3 linked regions of the Struthio camelus genome follow. Each later gene encodes a partner of the first gene's protein in a complex. Links are inferred from orthologs where the notes say so. Each region holds a gene or a part of one and is shown in the gene's direction. Other genes may lie near its edges.

The links.
Region 2: PLRG1 (region 1) and SCNM1 share a complex: the UniProt entries of both Homo sapiens proteins name them as parts of the minor spliceosome. The link is inferred for Struthio camelus from reciprocal best matches to the Homo sapiens genes PLRG1 and SCNM1.
Region 3: PLRG1 (region 1) and SRRM2 share a complex: the UniProt entries of both Homo sapiens proteins name them as parts of the minor spliceosome. The link is inferred for Struthio camelus from reciprocal best matches to the Homo sapiens genes PLRG1 and SRRM2.

What each region holds. Positions count from the first base shown.
Region 1 is NC_090945.1:39,287,125-39,290,935, reverse strand, and holds the start of PLRG1 (pleiotropic regulator 1), read left to right. Parts: upstream 1-1,401; 5' UTR 1,402-1,520; coding exon 1,521-1,529; intron 1,530-2,889; coding exon 2,890-2,996; intron 2,997-3,218; coding exon 3,219-3,361; intron 3,362-3,811. UniProt on the Homo sapiens protein: Involved in pre-mRNA splicing as component of the spliceosome. Component of the PRP19-CDC5L complex that forms an integral part of the spliceosome and is required for activating pre-mRNA splicing.
Region 2 is NC_090971.1:23,517-27,327, forward strand, and holds the start of SCNM1 (sodium channel modifier 1), read left to right. Parts: upstream 1-1,451; 5' UTR 1,452-1,580; coding exon 1,581-1,631; intron 1,632-2,604; coding exon 2,605-2,675; exon of another isoform or gene 2,676-2,679; coding exon of another isoform or gene 2,680-2,690; intron 2,691-2,826; coding exon 2,827-2,915; intron 2,916-2,989; coding exon 2,990-3,087; intron 3,088-3,162; coding exon 3,163-3,257; intron 3,258-3,464; coding exon 3,465-3,637; intron 3,638-3,782; coding exon 3,783-3,811. Other genes in the region: LYSMD1 (lysM and putative peptidoglycan-binding domain-containing protein 1), read right to left, coding at 299-430. UniProt on the Homo sapiens protein: As a component of the minor spliceosome, involved in the splicing of U12-type introns in pre-mRNAs. Plays a role in the regulation of primary cilia length and Hedgehog signaling.
Region 3 is NC_090973.1:764,978-768,577, forward strand, and holds the start of SRRM2 (serine/arginine repetitive matrix protein 2), read left to right. Parts: upstream 1-1,392; 5' UTR 1,393-1,580; intron 1,581-3,600. UniProt on the Homo sapiens protein: Required for pre-mRNA splicing as component of the spliceosome. As a component of the minor spliceosome, involved in the splicing of U12-type introns in pre-mRNAs.

The sequences.
Region 1 (3,811 bases):
TATGGACTTCAGTCCTTTAGCAATTCACACCTTGTCATGAGATGTAGGGATCACCAACTCATATACAACTTTAGTTCCCATTTTAAAGTAGCATTCCCATGGACATAAGTTAAAGAAATCTTTCCAGAAGAGTTATCAAGTATAACTGTTAGAATATTACATAACACTAATATTTTTCTTTAGAGGTTGCATTTTACTCCTGGGTTTAAAAAATTGTCCATGTCCAACTCATTGTGTACGGTTTCATGAACCGGCTTTATCTTGGAGAACTCATGAAGGAAATGACCATTAAGATATGTAACCGCACCACACAAAACAATTAAAAACGCCATCACGTCCTATAAAATCAAGCTGACATCACTCGTAATAGGGGATCCTTACGGGTATTTCATGCTTGTTCTCACAAGGTCTTAGCAAGACACAGTTTATCTTTCAGAAAGCTCAATATTGCACTCCGCTGTTCGGTAGCTGTAACTGCGGCTTGCATAGGCTGGCGTTAAAGCATTTCTTGTTCACGCTTGCGCTGAACATGTGTAGCTTCACCACGGGAAGATTTACTAGTTCGTGATGACGGTGACTGTGAAGGGTTGCTTTTAAGACAGAAGTATCAGCACGGTGACGTGCCCTTGCTTACGCCGAGTCCCTGCCACAGCCAGTCTTGATTATATGATTAAAAATCGTCGGTATCAACTAACCCAACAGGACCGAATCAAGATGTTGTATCGGTCTAGCTGATACAACTAGCATAAAATATTAGCACTTTTTTCTGCTTGGGCGGTTGCTCATTTACCTCCATCTTGACCGCTCCCACCCCAGAGCGGTCTCAGTTTTTCTCTCCGTGTTTTATTTTTATTTATATGGTTGAAAAACCATTTGTCATTTGTTTTAGCTTCATCTGCAAGGCCTAATTCAACTCAAGTTTCGATACGTGCCAGTTTATCACTAGACAAAACACCACCAGACAGCCCAACCTCCACGACTCATTAAGGAGGCTCTTCCCGGCTCTCTGCAGGTCTTGCTTTGCTCCCCTAGGAGCCGTTTCCCTACTCCGTAGACCCATTTTGTGGCGGTTGTTACCCCTCCACCTCAGCAGCCCCTGCATGGAGGTTTTTGCTAGTGCTTGGTGAGCACCTGCAAGATCCAGATTTTTTTTTTTAACTGATAAAAGGACATTTGACTGCTGCCAGCCACTAGCAACTCCCCTTTCTGGAGCCGAAGCCTCAGGCACAGCCCTACCTCGCCTCACTGACCCCTCTCGCCCCGAGCGGGACTCGAACCCGCAGACCCCAGGCACGGGAAATAGGGGGTGGTGCGGCTGAGCCCCGCCCAAACTGCGCCGCCGCCGCCGCCGCCAACGGCCCATTCCGGCCCCGCCCTTCGCCTCCCTCCCTCCGCCCGTCCCCGGCGCGCGTGCGCGCTCGCCGCGCGGCGCGCCACTTCCGGTGCGGCGCGAGGCAGGCGCCGGAAGTGCCTCCATAGCGGGTGGCGGTGAGCTGCGGCTGTCCGAGGTGGCCGGCGCCATGGTGGAGGTGAGGCGGCCGGACCCCGCGGCGCGGTGGCGGCGGAGCGCGGCGCGAGGCGACGGGGGCGGCTTGGGCCCGTGAAGGCGGCGGCTGCGGCGGTCCCTCGGCCTTTGCGGCGCCCCTGGCCCCGAGGGCAGCGCGGGAGGGTTTCCTCGGCCTCGGTGGGCCGTGGTTTGCGAGGCTGAGGCCGGGCGTGGAGGCGGGCGCGGGGCTGTGCCCCTCTCGGGCCTTGTTAGCTAGTCGGGAACGCGGTGGGTTTCTCGTGAGGTCTCGGCAGCGCTGCCCGGCAGGCGGCCGCCGCGTTTGTCGGCGGTGGGGTAGTTAGCGTGGAGCGAGTTTCGTGCGCTGCTGAAAACAGGGAACTGTCAGGAGCCTGTAAGAAAATGTAAAGAATGCTGGCCTATGTCAGGCTGCCTGCTGTTTTTTTCAGTGTGGTATCTCTGTCGAAAGCGTTGCCAGATGCTCCACGATCTTCCGTTCGTAATGGGGAGGCATTCTGTTACTTGGCGCTCGTGTGGTGTTTACAATAGCTACTGTAGTTGAACAGCAGTTCTTCCCCGTAGTTCTTTCTTCAGTTTGCATGAAACTCCCAACCCAGTTCCAAAAAGTGTTAACGTAGTTTCCAGTTTATTGCTGTTATTTCTGTGATGTGCAGAACAAAGGCAGTCCTATAGAGAGTTCTGTTTTCAGCTATTTCCTAATGACTTTTTTTTTTTATCTTTGGGAGGAAAAGATTTGAAAACAAAAACTGAACTGTGCTGGTAATAAGAGAGTATTCTGTAGAAAGAGACCTAAAAGTTTTGTTATTTTGCTTCTTAGTCTTTGAATGGAATTTTAATGTTTTGCTTTTGGTAATAAGGAAACAAAATTATTTGGAGAAAACAAATTTTGTCAGGTTTGAGCCCATGTTTGCTCCCGTGCTTGCATTAAGTGACACAGTTTACACAGAAGTTTTATGAATGCTCTTGTTCTTTTTATGGAGATAGTGAAATAGAATTTATAGGAATGTTTTCAGAATCAGTTACTATATAAAAACAGAACTGGCAAGTGTGTAGGAAAATCTTTCCTGTTTATGTGTTCATCATATAGGTGCCAGTGCAGAAAGTTTGATCAAAGTTTTTGGCCTGCTTTTCTCAGTTTTGTTGGTTTCCAGGAAAGGGAGAGTTGAGTAAACACTGAATTAAAACAACACATAAACTTTAATGTTTAGTTTCCAACAAGAATGTTTTCTGCGAACTGGATAGTGCCGCATCATTTAACACTGTCAGGGCCTGAAATTGCTACTCTATTTAACTTGTATTACTGTTTTCAATTCCTTATTCAGCTGTGGCCAAATGTATTTAAATATGCTTTCCTTTATTTTTAGGAAGTCCAAAAGCATTCTGTGCACACACTTGTGTTCAGATCTTTGAAGAGAACCCATGATATGTTTGTAGCTGATAATGCCAAGCCTATACCATTAGATGAAGAAAGGTATGTGCTGCAATCAGTGAATTACTGGTATGTCTCAAAGCTTTAAATTATGGTAGCGGTTGTTCTAGTCAAGTCACAAGTTTGGATAGAATTACAGTGTGATGTTAAGGGAAGAAAAATTTGAGGATTGTAAAGTGAGTGGTGTCAAATGCTTTCTAAAATATTTCAAAAGTTAATAACAACTCAAAGATTAGGCTTTAATATGCTTTCCTCTTCCAACAGTCACAAAGTAAAGATGGCAGTCAAGTTGCGTACAGAGTATGGCTCAGTGTTGCACATGCCCACTCTGAAAGAAAACTTGAGAGAGAAAGGAGGCTCAAACACTGGGGATCCTTATGGACATAAACAGTATTCTGGCAATCAAGGTTAGTTTGCTCCTAATGGTATGTTTGTCTTTTGTTTTGGAAGAGACAGTCTCACTGAAGTTAGTTCTCAAGGCTGTAGTGTTAATCCATCACAGATACAGGAGGAAATCATAATAGCTGGTTTTCATTGGTATTTTTCTTGCTAGAGTTCAAAGGAGGTTAGTGATTTAGAACAAGGAAAAAGTTTGTTAGAATACAGGGAATGATACGATGCTGTGTAATTTTTACAGTAATTCAGAAACATAGTGTGTGTTATGCTTAGCTACTGGGAAAAGTATAAGCTCAGTGATGTATTTCTTCTTTTTCAGGTTGATGAAGTTTTTTTTTTTTTTTAAGTTTCATGGAATTTTTTTTCAGACTTTCTTTGGCTGTGCAGCTATTAAGTAGAAAAATCCATTTGTTTTAAATATGGTATCTTTTTGACTATTTTTTCTTTTTGGTTAAATATAA
Region 2 (3,811 bases), on another chromosome or scaffold:
GGGCCCTGCGGATAGCCCCAGGACCCTGCCCCAGGCTCCCCCTGCCCCACAGCAGCCCCCAGATCCCATAGTCTGGATGTCCTGCCCCATGGCAGCCCCCAGTGCCCCAGCAGCCCCTGGTCCCCCCCTGCCCCAGCTGTCCAGTCCCCCCCAGCAGCCCCCTGCCCCATGGCAGCTCCTAGCCCCCCAGCAACCCTCCAGCAGCCCCCCTGCCCCGTGGCAGCCCCCAGCAATCCCCCAGCAGCCCCCCTGCCCCATGGCTGCCCCCTGCACCCCAGCAGCCTCCAGCCCCGCTCACCGTGACGCCATAGCGCAGCGCCAGGCCTGCCAGCGTGTCCCCGGGCTCCAGGCGATGCTCGCGGCCCAGCAGCCCCCCCGGCCCTGGCCCACCACCGTCCCCCACCACCTCCCGCCCCAGGGGTGCCGCCATGGCGGGACGGCCCCACTCACCCCTGGCCCCTGCCGACGCCCTGGCACATGCCGGGGGGGCTCATGTTAACACTCCACCCACCCAACCCACTCCCGGGGGCCACCCTGCACCCCGATACCCCTACACTGGGGCTCGGAGGGACGGGACCCCCACTTCCCGGAGGGCCCAGGCGTTCTGGCGTGCCGCCCGTGGGGGTGATGCTAAGGGCGGGGGGGGGCCTTTGGCCGCCTCTCCGGCCCCCCCTCAGTACTGCTACCAGCCTGCCAGGCCCGCCCCCCCCCCGCCTCCAGTAAACCCAGTCTGGCTGCGGACTGGGTAGGGAGATGCCAGGCCCGGCCGGCCCTCGCGAAGGTCTCTGGGAGACGTAGTCTCGGGGGCAGAGGGCAGCGGGGGTGTTCCCCCCCACGCCATGGCCTGCAGTCGGGCGTCCCCTCGCAGCCCTGGCCTCAGCCTGTGCCCCCCACATGGGACCATCCCTGCCGTGGGGCTGCCCCCCCAGGGGCTTTCTGCACCCCCCCGCCCCTCCTTATTCCCCTAGGGTCTCTGTCCCCCCCCAGGGTCCCGCCCCCCAAAGGGTCCTCTCTGCTCCCTCTGGGTGCTCCCTGCCCCGCCCAGGACTCCTCCCCAAGGGTCCTCCTTGCCCTCCAGGGCACCTACTCCCCGTCAGGGCCCTCATTCATTCCCCATGTCCCTCTGTGACCCCCAAGGTCCCTGCCCCCAGGGTCCTGCCTCCTCCAAGGGTTCCTGCCCCCCACCAGGGGCCCTTTCTGCCCCCATCAAGGGCCACCGCCGACCCCTGATCCCCCTAAATGTTCCTGTCCCCCAGGATCCTTTCTTGTCCCCCTTAGGCGCTGCCCCATGAACCCCCCCCACCTTCGCCCAATAGTCCTCCCTGTCCCGCCCCGGGTCTCATCCCCCCCGACCTCTCCCCCTAGCAGCCCAGCTTGGGGGTAGAGAACTACAGCTCCCAGCATGTCGTGCGCGCGGGGGTAGGGTCCTGCTGCCGCAAGGCACTGTGGGAGTACCAACCCCGCCCTCTCCCTTCCCTGTTGGTCGCCGCGCCGGCCCGTGGCCCGCCGGGAAAGGCGGCCTGGAAGTGGGGAGGGGACGGCGGTTCCTACGGTAACCGCGGGCTGCGCCAGCGGCCGCTATGTCCTTCAAGCGGGAGGGAGACGATCCCGGCCAGCTCGGTGTGCTGCAGGTAGGACCTCCAGTGCCCCCGGGACCCCCCAACAGCTCAAGCCTCCCACACCTAGGATCCCTGGTCCAGCACCCTCGAGGCCCCCAACAGTTCAGGATCCCGCCCGCCGTCCTCCCTGCCCCCCAATGACCCCCTAGACCCGCCCCCTGTCCTCCCTGCCCCCCAGATCCTCCCCAGGCCCCCCTCCCATTCTCCCTGTTCCCAGATACCCCTCTGCCCTACAAATAGTCCCAGACCTCTTCCCCCTTCTCCCTGTTCCCAAATATTCCCCACCTTAACTTTCTCCTCCTTCTTCCTGCCTTCAATTACCCCCTGCCCCCCCTTAATGCCCTCCACCCTAGACCTGCCCCCCAGTTATCCTCTGTCCTGACTTGACCCCTTCAACATCCCCCTACTCCCAGACTTCTCCCAGACCTGCCCCCAAATCCCTCCCAGCCCTCAAATCCCCCTGCACACAAATACTCTCCTGCCCCCAAACCAGCCCTTCAAATACCCCCTGCCCTGACCCCCCTCCTTATTCTTCCTTGCCAAATATGGCCCTATCCACACCCCCTTCCCTCAGAGCTCTCTCTGAAAATACCCCTTCTCCCCCAAATATTCCCTTCCCTCGCTCTGACTCCCAACCTGACCCCCCAAATACTCCCTTCCTTCACCTCAGCTTGTGCTGTTCTCCAATCTCCCCCTGAAAATCTCCCCTAGCTGCCCCCTCTCTCCCCCACCTCAACCCCCCCCCCCCGTTTCCCCCACCTGCACCCCCTTCCCAGCTGGCTCCTCATCATTGCTGCCCCCTTTAGGGGTCCCCCGGGTGCCCAGGTTTCCTGGCTGAAGGGTGGATGGGTCCGTGGTGTGGCTGGGCTATGGGTGAGGATTGATCCCCTGGTCTGTCCCACTTGGACTGGTGAGAGTGCAGGGTGAATCATAGGCAGAAACCGCCTCCGGCAGCAGCTAACGTGACCTTGTTTGTCCCTCTCAGAAACGACGCGTCGCGGACCTGCTCGCCAACTATATCCCTGAGGACGAGGCAGTGCTGCTGAGGAGTGGGAGGTGAATGGGATCCATGTGGGTGGGCAAACCCTGAGCTTCCGTGGGCCTGGGCAGCTGGAACGACTCAAACCTCTCTTGCCACCAGGGACTGCTCTGCCAGTCTCCGAGTGCGGAGATGGGCGAGCCTGACGGCGTCTCCTCCCCTACACAGGTATACCTGCACCGTGTGTGCCCACCGCCCCATCTTCGATACTCTGGATGTGCTGGCGGTCCACAGGGCTGGCAAGAAACACGTTGCCAGTAAGTGCACAGGCTTGGCAGGGGGAGGCCGCTGCTGCACCAGGCCGGCCCACGACCCTCTCACTCTCTTCTAGGCCTGCAGAGCTTCTACGGCAGGAAGCACTCACTTGAGAACGAGGTGCAAAAGCGACAGCACGAGAAATTCGTGCGGGCGGAGGAGGCAGGCACACAGGTGGGTGCAGATGCCCCTTCCCCTCCCCACTAGACCCTCGACCAGACTGGCTTGAGCTCTGCCCCTTCCCCCCAGGGCTCTCCAGCCCCTTTGCTGGTGCGAACAAGGAGGATAGCCCAGAGCGCTCTGCTGAAAGCTGCTCCCTACAGCAGCTGCTGCCGGAGGATGGGGTAAGATCTTGGGGGTTCCTGCCCTCTCAGGGGTGAATGAAGTGAGTGGGCATCACCTTTCCACCTTGTGCAGCTTTGTCATTACCGACTCGCACTCTGTGGAATGCCCCTTCCTTGGCTGCCATCCCCCAGCTGGTAACAGGCACTCGTGGGATGACATTTAGGCGGTGATGGCTGGAGCTGGGCGTCACGCCTCTCCCATCCTAGGGTGAATGGAAATGGCTCAAGAGCAGGTATGACCCAGACGGAGCTGAGCACCGCCCCTGTGCGAATCGCTGCCACGGCCTCTCCAGAGCCCAGAGTCCCCTCGCAGAAGATCAAGGAGGCTGTGGGCACCACCCCAGTGGCCCTGCTGCCAGGGTGCTGTAGCGGGCGAGCAGGTAAAAGTGGGCCAGTGGCTCTGGGTCAGCACTGGTGCCAATGAGAAAGCCCACCGGGTTTCGGCTTGTTTGCAGCCCTGGCCCTGCCTTGGTTTCTCTCTTTTCTGCGGGTCTCGCCAGCTCATGCTCCTCTCCATTCTCCCAGACGTACCAAAGGCAGCTACCACCCAGACC
Region 3 (3,600 bases), on another chromosome or scaffold:
TTTTGGGGCAATAAACATCTTAACTTTGCCCTTTTGGGGGCAAAAAACCCCACCTTAACTCGGCCCTTTTAGGGGCAAAAAAACCACCTTAACTCGGCCCCTTTGGAGGTAAAACCAGCCTTAATTCAGTCCTTTGTTGGGGCAAAAAACACCTTTACTCTGCCCTTTTGGGGGGCAAAACTCGCCTTAACTCTGCCCTTTCCTGGGGCATAATCGGCCTTAACTCGGCCTTTTTAGGGGCAAAAGGCAGCCTTAACTCTGCCTTTTTGGGGGTAAAAACAGCCTTAACTCGGCCCTTTTTTGGGGAGGCAAAAATAGCCTTAACTCTGCCCTTTTTGGGGCAAAAATGGCCTTAACTCGGCCCTTTTGGGGGCAAAAATGGCCTTAACTCAGCCCTTTTTAGGGGCAAAACTGGACTTACATCTACCCTTTCCTCAGGCAAAAATAGCCTTAACTCGGCCCTTTTTGGGGCAAAAACGGCCTTAACTCGGCCCTTTTTTGGGGCAATAAACATCCTAACTTTTCCCTTTTAGGGACAAAAAACCCCACCTTAACTCGGCCCTTTTGGGGGCAAAATCAGCCTTAACTCGGCCCTTTCCTGGGGCAAAACCGGACTTAACTCGGCCGATTTTGGGGGGGGGGGCAAAAACAGCCTTAACTCGGCCCTTTTGGGGGCAAAAAAGGCCCTAAATTGGCCCTTTCCTGGGGCAAAAAATAGGCTTAAATCTGCCCTTGGGGGGGGGGGCAAAACCGGCCTTAACTCGGTCCTTTTGGGGATAAAAACGGCTTTAACGGTCCATCGCCGGCGGGGACGCCTGGGCCCCCCGTTGGGGGGGGGGAGGGGGCTGGGGCCGGCTCGGGGACCCGGACGCCTGGGCCCCCTGGGGGAGAAGCGCTTCTGATTGGCTGGACGAAGCGCCCAGACGCTGGCGAGCGGCCAGCGCTGGGCCCACGTAACGCTGATTGGCTGGGCGCCCGGGAGGGGCGGTGCTGATTGGCTGGCGGCGGGCGCGGCCGGCGCTGATTGGTTGGCGGCGGAGCGAGGACATGGGCGATGCCCATTGGCCGGCGCTCGGCGGCCTCTTCCGCACCTGCGCGGAAGGAGGACGGGGCGCCCCCCCTCCTCCACGGGGAAGGTGGAGGCCACAAGATGGCGGGCGCCGCGAGGCACGCCGGGAGTTGTAGTCCCGCCCCGCCTCCCGCCGCTGGCAGCCGGGCGCCGCGCGGACTCCCGCTCCCGGCGTGCCCCGCGCGCAGGCGGCCAGCCGCCGCCACAAGATGGCGGCGCCGGCGCGCGGGGGCCGCCGGGAGTTGTAGTCCGGCGCCTCGTAACCCACCAATGGGCTCCGCGGGGAGGCGGAACTTCATTTCCCGGCGGGCCGTGCGCGCGCCGAAGTGACGTCAGCGGCGGGGCGGAGGAGGGGGGGGGGGAAGGGAAGAGAAGGGGCCGGAAGGGGAGGCCGCGCGGGTAGGCGGGGGCGCGTGGCGTCGCCTCGCGTCTCTTCGTCCGGGTCTCGCAGCCGCGGCAGCCTCGAGCGCGGGGGAGGGTCCCCGCGCGGCGCGAGCGGAGCCGCCGGCTGGTGAGACGGCGGGGAGGGGGCGAAGGGGAAAGGGAAGCAGATAACGCGGGGACGCGAGCGCGGGTGGGAGTGGGGGGGGCGGGCGCGCGCGTACGTGCGCGTGCGCCGCGGGCGACCGTTGGCCCCGGGGAGGGGGAGGGGCGGGCGCGCGGCGCGGCCGTTGGCCCGCGTGGGGGGGGGTGGGGGAGGGGCGCGGCAAGGGCCGTTCAGGAGCGGCCGTTAGGGGCGGGGGGGGCGTTTTGAGGGGGAAAACAAGGTTTTCATCGAGTTTGGGGTGCGGTTGTGAGGGAAAAGTGGGTGCGTGGAGGGGGATGGGGGAAGTTGTGAGGGGAAATGGGGTGCGGGAGGAGGTTTTTGGGGGGGAAAGTTTTTTTCAAGGAGCTTGGGGGGCAGTTGTGAGGGGAAAGTGGGTGCGTGGAGGGATTTTGGGGGGAAACAAGGTTTTCCTGGGGTTTGGGGTGCGGTTGTGAGGGAAAAGTGTGTGGGTGGAGGGAGATGGCGGAAGTTGTGAGGGGAAATGGGGTGCGGGAGAGGGTTTGGGGGGGGAAAAGTTTTTTGAAGGAGTTTGGGAGGCGGTAGTGAGGGGAAAGTGGGTGCGTGGAGGGATTTGGGGAGAGTTTTAGGGGAAAACAAAGTTTTCCTGGGGTTTGGGGTGCGGTTGTGAGGGAAAAGTGTTTAGGTGGAGGGTTTTGGGGGTAGTTTTAAGGGGAAAAAATTTTTTTCAGAGGTGCTTGGGTGCAGTTGTGAGGGAAAAGTGGGTGCGTGGAGAAGTTGGGGAGAGTTTTGGGGGAAAACAAGGTTTTCAAAGAGGTTTGGGGTGCAGTTGTGAGGAGAAAGTGGGAGCATAGAGGGTTTTGGGGGGCATTTTGAGGGGAAAAAGTTTTTCAGAGGGCTTTGGGGTGCGGCGGCGAGGTGAAAGTAGGTGTGTAGAGGATTTTGGGGAGAGTTTTAAGAGAAAACAAAGTTTTCAGAGGTGCTTGGGGTGCAGTTGTGAGGGGAAAGCAGGTGTGTGGAGAGATTTGGGGTGAGTTTTGAGGGAAAGCAAGGTTTTCAGAGCAATTTGGGATGCAGTTGTGAGGGGAAAGGGGGTGTGTGGAGGAGTTTGGGGGGAATTTTGGGGGAAAACAAGGTTTTCAAAGGGGTTTAGGGTGCAGTTGTGAAGGGAAAAGTGGGTGCGTGGAGAAGTTGAGAGTTTTGAGGGGAAAAAAGTGGTTTGAGGGCTTGGGGTGCAATTGTGACAGGAAAGTAGGGGTGTAGAGGATTTTGGGGAGAGTTTTAAGAGAAAACAAAGTTTTCAGAGGTGCTTGGGGTGCAGTTGTGAGGGGAAAGCGGGTGTGTGGAGGGATTTGGGGGGAGTTTTGAGGGAAAGCAAGGTTTTCCTGCAGTTTGGGGTGCAGTTGTGAGGGGAAAGCGGGTGTGTGGAGGAGTGAGGGAGAGTTTGGAGAGGAAGAAAGTGGTTTGAGGGCTTGGGGTGCAGTTGTGAGGGGAAAGTAAGGGTGTAGAGGGATTTGGGGTGAGTTTTGAGGGAAAACAAGGTTTTCATTGGGGTTTGGGGTGCAGTTGTGAGGGGAAAGTGGGAGCATAGAGAGTTTTGGGGGGAGTTTTGGGGAAAATTTTTCAGAGGGGTTTGGGGTGCGGTTGTGAGGGAAAAGTAATGGTGTAAAGGGATTTGGGGGGAGTTTTAGGGGAAAACAAGGTTTTCATTGGGGTTTGGGGTGCAGTTGTGAGGGGAAAGTGGGAGCATAGAGAGTTTTGGGGGGAGTTTTGGGGAAAATTTTTCAGAGGGGTTTGGGGTGCGGTTGTGAGGGAAAAGTAATGGTGTAAAGGGATTTGGGGGGAGTTTTAGGGGAAAACAAAGTTTTCATCAGGTTTGGGGTGCAGTTGTGAGGGGAAAAGTGGGTGCGTGGAGGGTTTTGGGGGGAGTTTTGGGGAAAATTTTTCAGAGGGGTTTGGGGTGCGGTTGTGAGGGAAAATTGTGTGGGTGGAGGGTTTTGGGAATTTTGGGGGAAAGCAAGGTTTT